3 linked regions of the Callithrix jacchus genome follow. The protein of the gene in region 3 purifies or fractionates together with the protein of the main gene of each other region. This does not show direct contact. Links are inferred from orthologs where the notes say so. Each region holds a gene or a part of one and is shown on either strand. Other genes may lie near its edges.

Evidence for each region.
Region 1: the proteins of POLD1 (region 3) and POLD3 purify together in Homo sapiens (co-immunoprecipitation; 8 studies listed by BioGRID and IntAct, with this or other methods). This does not show direct contact. The link is inferred for Callithrix jacchus from reciprocal best matches to the Homo sapiens genes POLD1 and POLD3.
Region 2: the proteins of POLD1 (region 3) and MMS19 purify together in Homo sapiens (affinity purification with western blotting; 3 studies listed by BioGRID and IntAct, with this or other methods). This does not show direct contact. The link is inferred for Callithrix jacchus from reciprocal best matches to the Homo sapiens genes POLD1 and MMS19.

What each region holds. Positions count from the first base shown.
Region 1 is NC_133511.1:66,321,681-66,326,044, forward strand, and holds part of POLD3 (DNA polymerase delta subunit 3), read right to left. Parts: intron 445-4,364; coding exon 242-444; 3' UTR 1-241. UniProt on the Homo sapiens protein: Accessory component of both the DNA polymerase delta complex and the DNA polymerase zeta complex.
Region 2 is NC_133513.1:90,319,198-90,324,129, forward strand, and holds the start of MMS19 (MMS19 nucleotide excision repair protein homolog), read right to left. Parts: upstream 3,051-4,932; 5' UTR 3,003-3,050; coding exon 2,891-3,002; intron 1-2,890. UniProt on the Homo sapiens protein: Key component of the cytosolic iron-sulfur protein assembly (CIA) complex, a multiprotein complex that mediates the incorporation of iron-sulfur cluster into apoproteins specifically involved in DNA metabolism and genomic integrity.
Region 3 is NC_133523.1:44,035,708-44,040,600, reverse strand, and holds the start of POLD1 (DNA polymerase delta catalytic subunit), read right to left. Parts: upstream 3,184-4,893; 5' UTR 3,116-3,183; coding exon 3,015-3,115; intron 1-3,014. UniProt on the Homo sapiens protein: As the catalytic component of the trimeric (Pol-delta3 complex) and tetrameric DNA polymerase delta complexes (Pol-delta4 complex), plays a crucial role in high fidelity genome replication, including in lagging strand synthesis, and repair.

The sequences.
Region 1 (4,364 bases), on a different chromosome or scaffold from region 3:
GACAGGTCAAAGATTGTGCTTTTTAAATGTCCTTAGAAGGTTACAGCTTTTTGCCTCCTGCTTCCAGATGATTTCCCTTTGGTTAAAAACCAGAAACAGTATAAACCTCACAGGATGAAAGAACAGTCTTTTGCTACAGGTGAGGTGGAGATCTAGATGAACTTACATAGTAAGTGAGGAGTACACTTCTTGGTCTTCTCCCTTGACCACTCCAAGTCTCTGATCTACCAGAGATGGCAGTTTATTTCCTCTGGAAGAAGCCAGTAATGGACACCTGTCTGTTGGCTTTGCCCAGAGCAGCAGTCCCTTTCTTGGGGCCCTTTCGTTCCTCTTTGGGTTCTTTTTTCACAGTCATGGCAGGGGGTCTGTGTAGTGAGGATGTCTTCATCTTAAGTTCCTCTTCACTATCTGTGCAGGATTCACTCTCGTAGACTTTTTCGGTCACTGGTAGGACAAGAAAAAAATGAAACATGGGTGGGGTTGAATAATTTACTCTAACAAGAAAATGGAATGTCTTGCTAACCCCAATCATTTCTGACTCCGATCAAGGTAAATATGGTTACTTTGGACTGAATCTTTCTCCCACCGGGAGATCAGATCTAGACTGAGGTAAGTATGTGGAATCCTGAGATCATGCAGCCTCTGTTTGATACTTAGAATTAACTAACATTCACTTTTCTCCCGCACTGCTATGTCCCAAGCCTTTAATGGCCCTTTATCAGTTAACTGCCTAAATCCTTTATTTGGGTCCTGCCCTATGCTAGCTAACTTCTGAACTCTATTATCAGAATTGTCAACATCTCAAACACTTACTTCTAATTCCATGCTTTGACTAGCTTCGTAAGTCTCATCTCTCCGACCTACAATGCCTGTCCATTCCCACTGCTGGTCTTAAACCTCTGCCTGACTCCCTTCTGTCCAGTCAAGCTCACCATGGACCCTCCTGTCTAGCTCTATCTTGATGCCACCCACTCTCTGCAAATCCCAAGTATAGAGAATTGAAGATCAGTTACTCAGCTGTTCAGTTCCTATTTCTTAATGGCTGCAAATTAACCCAAGATTTAGTAGTAGTCTTTATCATGAAGGTTAACTATCTCAAGTAAACTCTATCAGATGACACACTTGTTAGTTTTAAGGAATGACAGTGATAAAATGAGAAACAAAGTTACCAGTTTTCTTACTCCCTATCAGCCAAAAGCGTAATTTGCCTTGCCCCTTCTATTAAAACTCATTGAACCCTTCCCAAGGAAAACCTGCAAAAGAACTATACCAATAAGCAGACAATATGAGGAAGCCCTGAAGGGCACAGGTACAGATAGTGGCTTCTAGCCATGATGTCACAAAACGGAGGAGGGTCTACTTCACACTACTGCAACACACACACCAACCATAAGAAACAGCACGCCACCTTTCTATAATTTTAGAGAGCTGTGGGAGCTGTATAACCAATACCATCTAAATTCTTTCTCAGCCTTCCTGGTTGCAGCAAGTGATAGAGAAATACGGAAGGAAAGATCTCATTCTCAGCTGAAAAGAGTAACCTAATATGCATAATAAATGCTCAAATGATTAAAGTAAAAGGTGTTTTTTTTTTCCATTAAAGAACAATGATAGTCTCAAGCTCTTATTGATAATTCTTTCTAATAAAATATATCAGTCACATTGCTCTAGAAGCATAAGCTTTGGAAATCAATTTTATCTGTGTCCTAATAACCTACTCTGCTACTTAGATATCATCTCAAACTTGAGTGTGCATCAGAACCACCTGGAGGGCTTGTTGAAACACAAATTGCCAGATTCTGTTTCCCAAGTTTCAGATTCAGCAGGTCTGGGGTGGGACCTGAGAATCTGCTTCTCTAACATGCTCCCAGATAATGCTGATGCTGCTGGTCTAGGACCACACTCTAGGAATTAATGTTCTTTCCTTCTCTGTTTTAAATGTTAAAGTGCAATTGCCACTGGAGTATTCCTTCACTGTTATCCAGCTAATCCCATTAAGACTGCTAATCAACAGTTCCTTCCCAGAGAGTTCCGGGAATTTGTTTTTAATTTTGTAAGAGCCCAGAATTCACTTAGATGCTCACTTAGAGGCTAAAAAACACTGATGAACTTAAAATATATAGTAAGTGTTTTGAAAGGCCTTACTACTCAAACTGTACTCCACACACCAGAGGCATCAGAATCTCCCATGAGCTTATTAGGAATACTCTCTCAGTTCCCACTCCTGGCCTACTGATGCAGAATTTCAATTTTAGCAAGATCTTCAAGTAATGCTCATAGTCGGCAAAGTTTGAAAAATGTTGTTCTAAGATACTTAGAGAATTCCCATGGCATACCTATTCATTCAACAATTAGATCTCAAAACACCACATCCACCGCACATGCATCTTCAAAAGCATGTAACTGAATTAATGGGACAAAATTACAAGCTGTTATTTATTGAATATCTTCAATAAATTATCTTCAATTAGAAAAGCCTGAAGAGCCATCTACAGATAAAGGAAATGACTTTCTACTAGTTGGTGATATAAGACTTTGCTCCTTCATAAGCTATATTCTGTATTCAAATAGCAGCATGTCTACAACATTACACTTTAGCATCAATTAGCTCATTATTTCATTACTTATTAATGAACCCACTGGCTGTCTCATTGCCAATTTTGTGTAATACACTGCTTGGGGGAGTTAAAAAAAAACAGGGCGGCACCAACAAAATTTCTTTAGCAGCATATTCAGTATACTATAATAGCTAAACGAAACATTTTTCTATATTCAAAGCTATAGCTACCTCAAACCCCAGGACAAAGGAGGTTTCCATTAAAAATATAGGTCCTTTATTTTAGCTGAACAACATGTCACTTTCTGGGTTGCCATGAAAAAAAAAATCCAAACACCTGGTTTTCACGGGTAACATCAGATATCTTTTCTATTCAACTGCTTTGCTCTTAGAAACCCACCGTTTTGTCCAGGAGTCTACTCCAAACTTATCTCAGGGCCTCAACTCCCCACTCTCTGCTGCAAACTCACAGAGGGAAAGATGAGCTTTCTAAACCCACAGAACAAATCTGATCCAGCACAGGACAGGGCGAGCCTCCTATGCTGGTACATTTAGAACAGTGTGAGTAGAGAGGAAAGCAGAACTCCTTTGTTGGTAACCAAAGCCAAGACTCATTAGGTTGAGCTTGGACTAAAAACCTTAAAAAAAAAAAAAGTGCAATGTGAGCACAGTTTTCACTGCTGCATCCAAGGCTCTTAACAGCCCTGTCTGGAGACAGGAGTGCAAAAAAGTCCACATCCCACACCTGGCCAAAACTCGAGTACTATGTTCTAAACAAAGCAGTAAACAATTACCCACAAATTCCCAATGAACTCTCACAAAGACATCTGACTTTTTTTCTTTTAGGGCAGAAAGAAGTGAAAAAAAACTGGCACCAATGCTTTTGTCCTCTTAAATTAAAAAAATGTACTGTTGAATTAAGAAATTCAACAGTAAATACATATATTACCACCCATGGCCAAACCAAGAGGCTTGCCATTTTTGAAAAATGGCAACTATTAAAAGACTGAAAGCCAAAAAAAAAAAAAAGAAAAAAGAAAAAAGAAAGGAAAAGAAAAAAAAAACCCATTCAAAGTCCAGAATTCACAGGTTCACAAGAAATCTGGCATTGAAAAGACAGAATTCCCACATGTAAAGAATTCTACTCCCTAATCACATGCTACAATTAAAATGGCAGAGGCCTTTTCAGAGGACAGAGACGTGGGGAATAGTGGGACAGGGAAAACAGCCGACAGAACGTCTGCACTAGTTTTAAGAACCAGGAAAAGTTGATTCTTCAGAGCCAATCTTTTAAAAACAGAAATCTGAACTAGGAAAAAAAATTGAGAAGGGGGAAAATAACCTTCTCTGAAGATCCAACCTGTGGCAAGTGCCACAAAAGGCAAAATGACAACCATGGACTATCCAATAACAAAGGTAAGAGCCTAAACCCACAACTCTTTTCAAATACAAAAGCACAATACCAGGATCTGAGCATCCCATGGAACCTCAAGTGCTAAATCTTAAAAGCTCCACAGAAGTCTGGTTTGATTATGGAAAGGGTAGAAGAAGCTAAAACATGGCTGAAGAATCAGCCAATGACTCAAAGTCTGAACTCTAATTCCTCCCTAAGCCTTCATAACAAGCACATGCTTTTACCTAACATGGCTTACAAATAGGAAACATAAAGGAAGCAGTCTGGATGAGTCATACCCTTCTGAAGAAAAAATGGAACCAAATACCAAAGATGATTCTTGATACACTCTAATCATCTGTAGCTTCTTTTCCACTGTTCAAATTTATAAAAACATTCTTAAAAAAAATTTAA
Region 2 (4,932 bases), on a different chromosome or scaffold from region 3:
TACAAAACAAAGGTGGCAGCAGCTGCTTTTGTCATCAAAGGGTGTTCCTTCTCCATTAAAATTCACAGGCTGCTGCTGAGTGACTGAATAGGAAGCTAGCTGGTCCCTTTAGCACTAACAAAACTTGATTTAGGCTGAAGGATTAGAAAGTACATCTTATTTTATGGACACTTCAGCACTCTGTTACCCTTCGACAACCCTAACTAGGGCTGTGATCTAAGATCGACAATATTAACTTAATCCTTGTCAAGTTCATTTTCATTTTATGACTTCATTGCTCGAGGATCTACGAATCCCTCTGCCTGTAATCCAAAATTATGCATAATCCAACTCCACCAAACCTTTTCAACTTTTATCTGTTACTATTCCTCTGTACCAACTTTCTTTTCTTTTTTTTTTTTTTTTTTTGAGATGGAGTCTTGCTCTGTCACCCAGGCTGGAGTGCAATAGTGTGATCTCCGCTCACCGCAGCCTCTGCCTCCCAGGCTCAAGCGATTCTCCAGCCTCAGCCTCCTAAGTAGCTGGGATAACAGACGTGCACCACCACGCCCAGCTAATTTTTGTATTTTCAGTGGAGATAGGGTTAGGCTTTCACCATGTTGGCCAGGCTGGTCTCCAACTCCTGGGCTCAAGTGATCTGCCCACCTTGGCCTCTCAAAGTGTTGGGATTACAGGTGTGAGCCACTGTACCCAGCACCAACTTTCTTTTCTTAGAAGGGCTAAATTACAACAGGGCTAGTGTTACAGAGTCTTAGCTGAGCTCAGCTGAATTCAAACTAAACAGTTTAGATCACTTTTTTCCAGAAAGAAACAAAAATATAAATTTTGCAAAAATGTTTATAAGAACCAGTGTCTCATGCCTGTAATCCAGCACTTTGGGAAGCTGAGATGGGAGGATGGCTTCAGTCCAGGAGTTAGAGACTAGCTTAGGCAACATGGTGAAACCTCATCACTACAAAAAAATAAAATAAAATAAAAATTAGCCGAGTGCAGTGGCACACACCCTGCAGTCCCAGTTACTTCAGGAGGCTGAGGCAGGAGGATTGCTTAAGCACAGGTTGAGGCTGAGGCAGGAGGATTGCTTAAGCAAAGGTTGAGGCTGCAGTGAGCCATGACTGCACCACTGCACTCCAGCATAGCAGACAGAGCAGGACCTTGTCTCAAAAAAAAAGAGAAGTAAGCAGTTCTTATTCAAGATAAGTCCTTATTCAAGATGTCTTTTCAAAATGTTTTGAATAAAAAAAAAATCCAAAATTATTATTTTCATAATTTATAAATGTGAAAGACTTGTCACAAATGACACTGCTATAGTAATGCTCTATATTAGGTTGGTAGGGGGTTGGATGGTACAGGTGTACGATTAGTCAAAATCAGTAAACATACACTTAAAGATTTATATATTTCATTGGATATAAATTTTACAACAAATTCACCGTCAACAAACTCTAGTCAATGACATGCATGCCAATGCAGTTAAAGAAAAATGTACAGGTATCTGCAAATTAAATGGATGGGTAGCTATATGATAAAGGGAGCAATAAAATGATAATGGTAGGATCTAGGTGATGTATTCCTTATGAAATTCTTTATACTTGGCTGGATATTCGAAAATTTTCATAATAAAACATGAGGGAAATGCCATGGATAACACACTGTACTTGTAAATGTGATAACACATTATATTTCATAAAACTGTAAGATGTTAAATTTGGTGGCAGCACCAGGTATTTGCTCCTTCCAAACTTCCCTGCAATCACCTTTTATAGAATGGTTGCCTCTCCCAGCATACTATAAGTTCCTGGTGGGCACAGATCTAACTTAATTTGTATTTATATACCTATTGCTTTGCATCATGTTTGGGGAATAATATGTGTTCAACAACAGTGGTATAATTGAATGAAAATGGAATACTACTAACGAACAAAGTATTATATTTCTAGCAGATTCACTATTCTTTTCTTACACACTCTAAAGGTTAATACGCTCAATTTGCAAGAGAAATGTGTCCTTACTTCTCTCCAAGCATGCAAAATTTCCAAAAACAAATTTTTTAAAACTACTCATGAGATAATTTTATATTCTGTTACTTAAACCCAAGATTTGAAGGCCTCCTAACATGCAATAACTTTTTAGTAGATTTTTTTTCCTAGAAAAGCGAAGTCTCAGAACTCCACGGAAGCCTGGAAGTTGTTTTATTCTAATTACAGAACAAAAAGATCTCTGAACTGGTCAAAAGCAGGAAACTGAGGGTCTGGGAAGAAGATAAAAACAAAAGCCACATAAAAAGTCATGGAGCAAATTAATCAAGAACTTTAGCAAGAAACGCAAAGTCTTAAGGAGGACACGCAGAACATTGCCAGCTCCCCATGGCCCGGCTCCTCGGCTCCTCGCCTCCTCTTCATTCCAGCCAGTTAGAGCGCGGGGCAGTCCGCCACTCCCAGGATGCCACGCGACGGGAGCGGCCGCTGCGAGGATGCGCTTCCTCACACCAACCTCCCAAAAACAGCGTGGCTTTATGGCGTGAGCACCTGGTTCCGATCTGAACACATGGATCCGAGTCCCAGCTCCCCCTCCTGCCTGGTCTGCAGCCCTGCGCAAGTCCTCTTGCCCTCGCTGGGCCTGTTTCCTCATCTGTAATGATTCCCTATCATTGTAGCCATTCCCTATCATTGGCTACGGGGAGATGAGGAGTCTAAATGGTTTTAAGGTAGACATAGGGAACTCTCCAGCTTGTTACGGTTCTGAAGTTCGCGGTGCTCACCAACCAGCCAGCCTTGAGACCAATCTCTCGAAGTCACCCGTACCCCTCCCTTCCCGCCCGGCTCCAGTGCTGAGGCCGCTTCCTCCTGCTGGCCCCCATGCGGAAGGCGCGCGGCGCCGTCTGCCGTACCTGCAGCCACCTGGTCAGCGGGGCCCTCTTGCTGACCCATGACGAAGTCGTGCACGAGGCCCCATAGGGCGTCTGTAGGCGCCGCCGCCTCCAAAGCCGCGGCGGCGGCCATGACGCGAAGTGGAGACCGTGGGAGGGGATACGGGCTGTGGCACCAGACGAGCCTCTCCGCGCATGCGCCCCTTGAGCCAATAGCCGGGAGAAGGCTAAGGGGGCGGGGCGCCCCGGGTCACGTGTCTGCCGGCTTCTGTCCAGGCACTTCCACGGAGGGGCGGGGCGCGGAATGGGGCGGTGGCACCGAGAGGGAAGGCGGCTGCTGGGCACGCAGTAGGGGACCATTGAGGGCTAATAATTGCCGGCCCTATTCCCCTGGAGACGGGCGGCGGGGCGGGCACCTGGCTGGGTGGGGAGAGGGGCGGTACGCACCACAGGGGAAGCCAATGAGAAAATCAGGCCCAGCCCGAGGGGGCGGTGCTGTCGGTCACATGCGCACCTGGGGCGGGTGGTGGCGGCGGCTGGGGCACCGCGAGCCGGCGGAAGGGAGCGGGGCCGGGCTGGGGCGGGGTTAGGCAGGTGAGTGACAGGCTCTGGGGGGCCGGCCCCTGCCTGGAACCCCGAGCAAGCAGGGAGTAGCTACGGCGGTGCCCGCCCCCTCTCTCCGCCCCTCCAGCGGAGCTGGTCTCCAGCCGGGCACCGTCGCGGGCCCCCCTGGCCCGGCCACCTGGGACCGTGCTGCGGAGTCTGCCACCTCCCTCTCTCCGCTGGCCAGCAAAGTTTTGGCAGAGCCAGCGTCGGGGCTGAGCGCGTCCCCGGGGGGAGGTCGGGGAGCGCCTGATGCCGGGCGGCCGGAGCCGTTGATCTGGGACGCCGCCGTCCGGGGCAGGAGCGCTGAGCAGCCGACCACCCCGCCTCCTGTGCATGGGGACTGGCTGAGGAACCAGCATGGGCAACTGCGTGGGGCGACAGCGCCGGGAGAGGCCGGCCGCCCCGGGACACCCCCGCAAGCGAGCAGGTAACGACGGGGAAAGGAGCAGGGCCTTGGGCATCCCGCCAGTTGTCCCCGTCCTCGCCCGAGCCCTGGGCTTACCGATCGACTCCCCACGGCTGCTGGCGCCTGGGTTTCCCCGATGGGCTGCTCAGCAGCCAGACGGGGCTGCTCGCCAGCGCCGGGCGGCGGGGGGAGCTGAGTTGGGGCAACTGCGAGCACGGAGCCGGCTGCACGACCAACTCTCTCCAACTGGGAAGCTCCTGGTGGGGGTGGGGGCAGGAAATGTTTGCAGACCGCAGCGGGGCCGACGAAGGGAGGAGGGCCCGGGGCGAGGGCGCTGCTGGCCTGGCAGCTCCGGCCGGGGTCGGACGCCGGCCCGTCGGGGCACGGCGCGGGCAGCCAGGCGTCCCCATAACTCGGAGCGAGCGGGGCGAGAACAGTCGCTCCTTCCAAAGACTGTGTCATTATCCGGCTGCAGATCGTGTCTGCCGGAATCCGACTTGGAAAAGCAGCGCAGGACTCTGGGAAAGAAATCTTTATTTTTCCCTGAGGGGTTTTTAGAGCCTCTCGGCCGTCTGGGAGTCCAGAAAAGGTGGGGTGCGGGGTGAGAGTCGCCTTCGGGATTGTTGGGATCCTTCCTAGCTTTGGGAGTGGGATCGCTCGCTGGTGATCCTGAAGGCCCTGGCAGCGCCTTCTCACTCTCATGGTACACCCCTCCTGCCCTGGCGTTTCGCCCCGGGAAGAGGTCTGGCGGTCATTTTTCTGGGTCTTACCCTCACTTCCTCCTTTGAGGGTGTTACAAGGACCTGCAGGGAATGATAAAATCGTAGACTTGAAAGTTCAACGGAGCCTTCGAAACTTGTCGGATTCCAGATGGACCTATCTCCTCCTCTCTGTGTTAAAGCCCAGATCATGAGAGGTTGAGCAACTTGTCCAAAGTCACACAGCTAGTTAGGAGCAGAGCTGGGGCTAGAACTCAGCCTCCTCTCCCACCCCGTTGCCACATATCCCCTTATGTAAGCGGAGCCACAGGCAGAGTCGTTAATGAAGTGGA
Region 3 (4,893 bases):
ATTGTTTGCTTTAAAATAGCTAATTTTACCTCCATAAAAAAGGTTTATATTGTATGATACCATCTAGACAAAGTTGTAGAATAGACTAAAATTATCTACAGTGCTAGAAATCAGACTAGCGGCTGCTCCTAGGGTGGGAGAGACTGGGAAGGGTGTGAGGGCGTTTCTGGGCTGATAAAACACACTATACAGCCAACTGCACACTGAAGACTTGGGCATGGCATGCCATGTAAATGACACCTCAATTACAAACATAAAAGTTTGGAGGCTGCAAGTCCACATCTAGGCTCGTATGCTGCAGATACATTATCACATAAGAAAAACTGCATTTATAAGGTTATTTCCGGCAGCACTGTTTGAAATCCCCAAAGACTGGAAACCACCTAACTGTCCTTCCCTAGGGGGCTGTTTAAATAAGTTATGTTAAGTCCGTTCCATGGAATACTATGCAGCTGTGTAAAGAAATGAGGAAGCTCCTTGTGTACTGATAGGGAAGGTTCTCAAAGAGGCACTGTTCAGTAGCTAAAGCAAGGTGCACAAAGGTGCACTCAGAGTTTTATCTTTTGGGTTGAAAAAAAGGTCTAAGAAAATGTTTACCCTGATTCTAGTCATTAGGAAACGAATCACTGGGGCACAGTGGCTCATACCTGTAATCCCAGCACTTTGGGAGGCTGAGGCAGGCAGAGCACTTGAGGTCTGGAGTTTGAGACCAGCCTGACCAACATGGTGAAACCCCGTCTCCAGTAAAATACAAAAATTAGCTGTGCATGGTGGTGGGCAGCTGTAAGCCCAGCTACTCGGGAGGCTGAGGCAGGAGAATCGCCTGAACCTGGGAGGTGGAGGTTGCAGTGAGCCAAGATCATGCTACTGCACTCCAGCCTGGGTGACAGAGCAAGACTCTGTCACAAAAAAAAACCAAACAACAACAGTCAAAAAAAAAAAACAAGCAACAAAAACAAAGAAACAAACCAATCCAAAGTGCAGGGTGACAATACTGCGCTGAAACCTTTAAGACTGTCACTGTCATGAAGAAGAAAGTCGCCTGGGCTAGGGGCTCACATCTGTAATCCCAGCACTTTGGGAGGCTGAGGTGGGATGGTCACTCGAGGCCAGGAGTTAGAAACTAGCCCAAGCAACATGGTAAGACCCAATTTCTACAAAAAATTTAAAAATTAGTTAAGCATGGTGGTGCATATGTATAGTTCCAGCTACTCGGACGCTGAGGTGGGAGGATCACTTGAGCCTGGGAGGTGAAGGCTGCAGTGAGCCGTGATTGCACCACTGTACTGGTGAATGATAGAGCAAGACCCTGTCTCAAAAAGAGGAAAGAAAAAGTTGCTGTGACAGCTAAATGTGTGTGATCCTAGGTTAGAACTTGGATTAAAAAAAAAAAAGAAATTATGGGCTGGGTGCGGTGGCTCATGCTTGTAATCTCAGCACTTTGGGAGGCTGAGGCAGGCGGATCACCTGAGGTCAGGAGTTCGAGACTAGCCTGGCCAACACGAAACCCCGTCTCTACTAAAAATACAAAAAAAAAAGTAGCCGGGCTTGGTTGTGTGTGCCTATAGTCCCAGCTACTCAGGAGGCTGAGGCAGAATTGCTTGAACCCGGGAGGCAGAGGTTGCAGCAAGCGGAAATCGTGCCGCTGCACTCCGGCCTGGACAACAGAGTGAGACACAGTCTCAAAAAAAAAGAAATTATTAATAGCTTTGAAGACTATTACAGGAACACGGGGCAGATCTAAATAAAGACTGTCTATTGGATGACGTCACCGTGTCACGTTAAACTGCGTGACGATGACGACACTGTAGTTGTGCGGTTGGACATCTTGTTCTTAAGAGCTGACTGCTGGAGGCCAGGCACGGTGGCTCTCGGCTGTAATCCCAGGACATTTGGAGGCCGAGGAGGGGATTGCTCGAGCCCAGGAGTTTCAGATTAGCCTAGGCAACACGGTGAAACCCTGTCTCTATAAAAGAATACAGAAATTAGCAGGGTGCAGTGGCATTCACCTTTAGTCCCAGATACTTGGGAGGCTGAGGATCAGCTGAGCCTGGGGAGGTCAAGGCTGCAGTGAGCTGTGACCACACCACTGCATTACAGCCTGCATGACAGAGTGAGTTCTTGTACCAAAAAAGGTGTCAACTGCTAGATCTTTCAGAGGTGACGTATCACGATGACCACAGCTTTCAGTAGTTCAGCCAAGAAAAGGACAGAAGGGGCTGGGTGCGGTGGCTCACGCCTGTAATCCCAGCACTTTGGGAAGTCAAAGCAGGTGGATCACAAGGTCAGGAGATCCAGACCATCCTGGCCAACATGGTGAAACCCCGTCTCTACTAAAAACACAAAGATTAGCCGGGTGCGGTGGCACACACCTGTAATCACAACTACTCGGGAGGCTGAGGCAGGAGAATTGCTTGAACCCAGGAGGCAGAGGTTGCAGTGAGCCGAGATTGTGCCACTGCACTGCAGCCTGGGCGAGACAGCGAGACTCCATCTCAAAAAAGGACAAAAGCACAAGTCTATGTGTGTGCTTGGATAAAGCAAAGGAGGTGTCGCGCCGACAGCCTGTTCACTGTGCTTAATCTGTACCTTCTCTGCAGGTTTCAAACTTTTCAAAATATTAAGAGGGAAATATATAAAATGGAAATAGTAACAATTTGACAAGGTGGGCAGAAGAGTACGTATAAATCATTTTGCTTTTAACGCAGAGACTAGGTATAAATCAGTTTGCTTTGAATGCATTGTTCTGCAAGGAGAGCTAAGAAACTGGTTTCCAGGGGACGGGGTGGAAGAAGCCTCCATTTGGTAACTGCTTTTCTGAGCTGTGATTCGCATACTATACAATTCACCCCTTTAAAGTAAGTATATATAGTTCAATGGTATTTAGTATGTTCAGTTAGGCAGTCGTCACCACAATCAATTTTAGGACTCTTTCATCACCCCGAAAACCCTACCTCCGTTAGCTCCCCCGATTCAGCCCATCTGCCCCCACCCCTGGCAACCACCCATCTTACTTTCTGTCTCCATGGATTGGCCTATTCTGGGCATTTCCTATAAATGGGATCTTGGAATCTGCAGCCTTTGGTGTCTGGCTGCTTTCTCTGAATGCGTTCATCGTTCATGCGCGTGGTGGCCTGGAAGCAGAGCTGCGTTCCTTTTTTGCTGAGTACTTTTCCACCGTATGGCCAGAACACGTTTTACGTATCCGCTCATCGGCAGATGGACATCAGGGTGGCTTGTTTCCACTGTTCGTGAGTGGAGCACCCGTGAATGTGTGCGGGGGGTTTCGTATGAGGAAGACTTGAACTGACTCCGCGTTTGCGTTCTTCGGGTGACAACTGTGTACATGAGTGACTTATCTCACAGGAAGAAGCAAGCTCAGTTAGTGGCCCTTGCTCCGGCTGTGTAAGCAGCCAGAGACGGACAGGGAGTGATGACCTGCAGGGAGAGACCCGGCTGGGACAGAGGAAGTGCAGGGGCTTGTGGGAGCCCAGAGTCACTGCCGGACCCGGAGGAAGGAAGGGGCTGACTGGCTGCCCGAGGTCAGTTGGCTGTGGCTACAGGGGTGTGGTAGGAGGGACGGTGTCAGCAGGCGCAAAACCCAGGCTCTTGTTGGTACAGACTGGAAGGAGAGCAGTATTAGGAAGGAAAGGCCCCCGTGTACCCCCTCTCATGTGCCCTGGCACAGGATGAGAGCTTGGCAAACACTGGCCTCTGCCCTCTCTCACGAGCAAGCACTTAACAGAGAGTCAGCAATAAAACGACACTACATGCTCACTGCAGGCCAGATGCTGGTTTTCTTGATGAGCAAGACACTCGCTCATTCCCTCGATGACCTCTTCCAATCTCGCCCAATCTCACAGCTTTGTTTTTATTCATATATATATTTTTTGAGATGGAGTTTTCCTCTTGTTGCTCAGGCTGGAGTGCAATGGCCTGATGTTGGCTCACTGCAACCTCGACCTCCCAGGTTCAAGTAACTCTCAGGCCTCAGCCTCCAGAGTAGCTGGGATTACAGGTGCACACCACCATCCCTGGCTAATTTTGTATTTTTAGTAAAATCGGGGCTTCTCCATATTGGTCAGGCTAGTCTTGAACTCCTGACCTCAGGTGATCCACCTGCCTCAGCCTCCCAAAGTGCTGGGATTACAGGCATGAGCCACCGCACCCGACCTGTATGTTTTTTTGAGATAGGGTCTTGCTCTGTTGTGCAGGCTGGAGTGCAGCAGCATGAACACAGCTCACTGCAGCTTCCATCTCCCGGGCTCAAATGATCCTTCCACTTCAGCCTCCCAAGTAATTGGACAATGCAAGTAATCAATGCAGCCTCCCAAGTAATTGGAACCATTAGCAAGCCGTCATGCCTTGCTAATGTTTTAATTTTTGTAGAGACAGGATTTCACGATGTTGGCTAGGTTGGTCTCAAAACTCCTGGGCTCAAATGTTCCTCCCACCTCAGCCTCCCAAAGTGCTGTGATTACAGGAGTGAGAAACCACACCTGGCCTCCACTCTATTTTTTGTTTTTTTGAGATGGAATCTCATTCTGTCACCCAGGCTGGAGTGCATGGCGTGATCTCGGCTCACTGCAACCTCCAAGTCCCGAGTTCAAGTGATTCTCCTGCCTCAGTCTCCTGAATGGCTGGGACTACAGGCGCGCACCACCGCACCTGGCTAATTTTCATATTTTCAGTAGAGACGGGGTTTCACCACGTTGGCCAGGATGGTCTCAATCTCCTGACCTCGTGATCCACCCGCCTCGGCCTCCTGAAGTGCTGGAATGACAGGCGTTAGCCACTGCACCTGGCCAGTTTGTGTATTTTTTGTAGAGATGGGGTCTTGCTATGTTGCCCAGGCTCACCTCCACACTTTTGGCCTTGTCCTTCCCCCAGGCC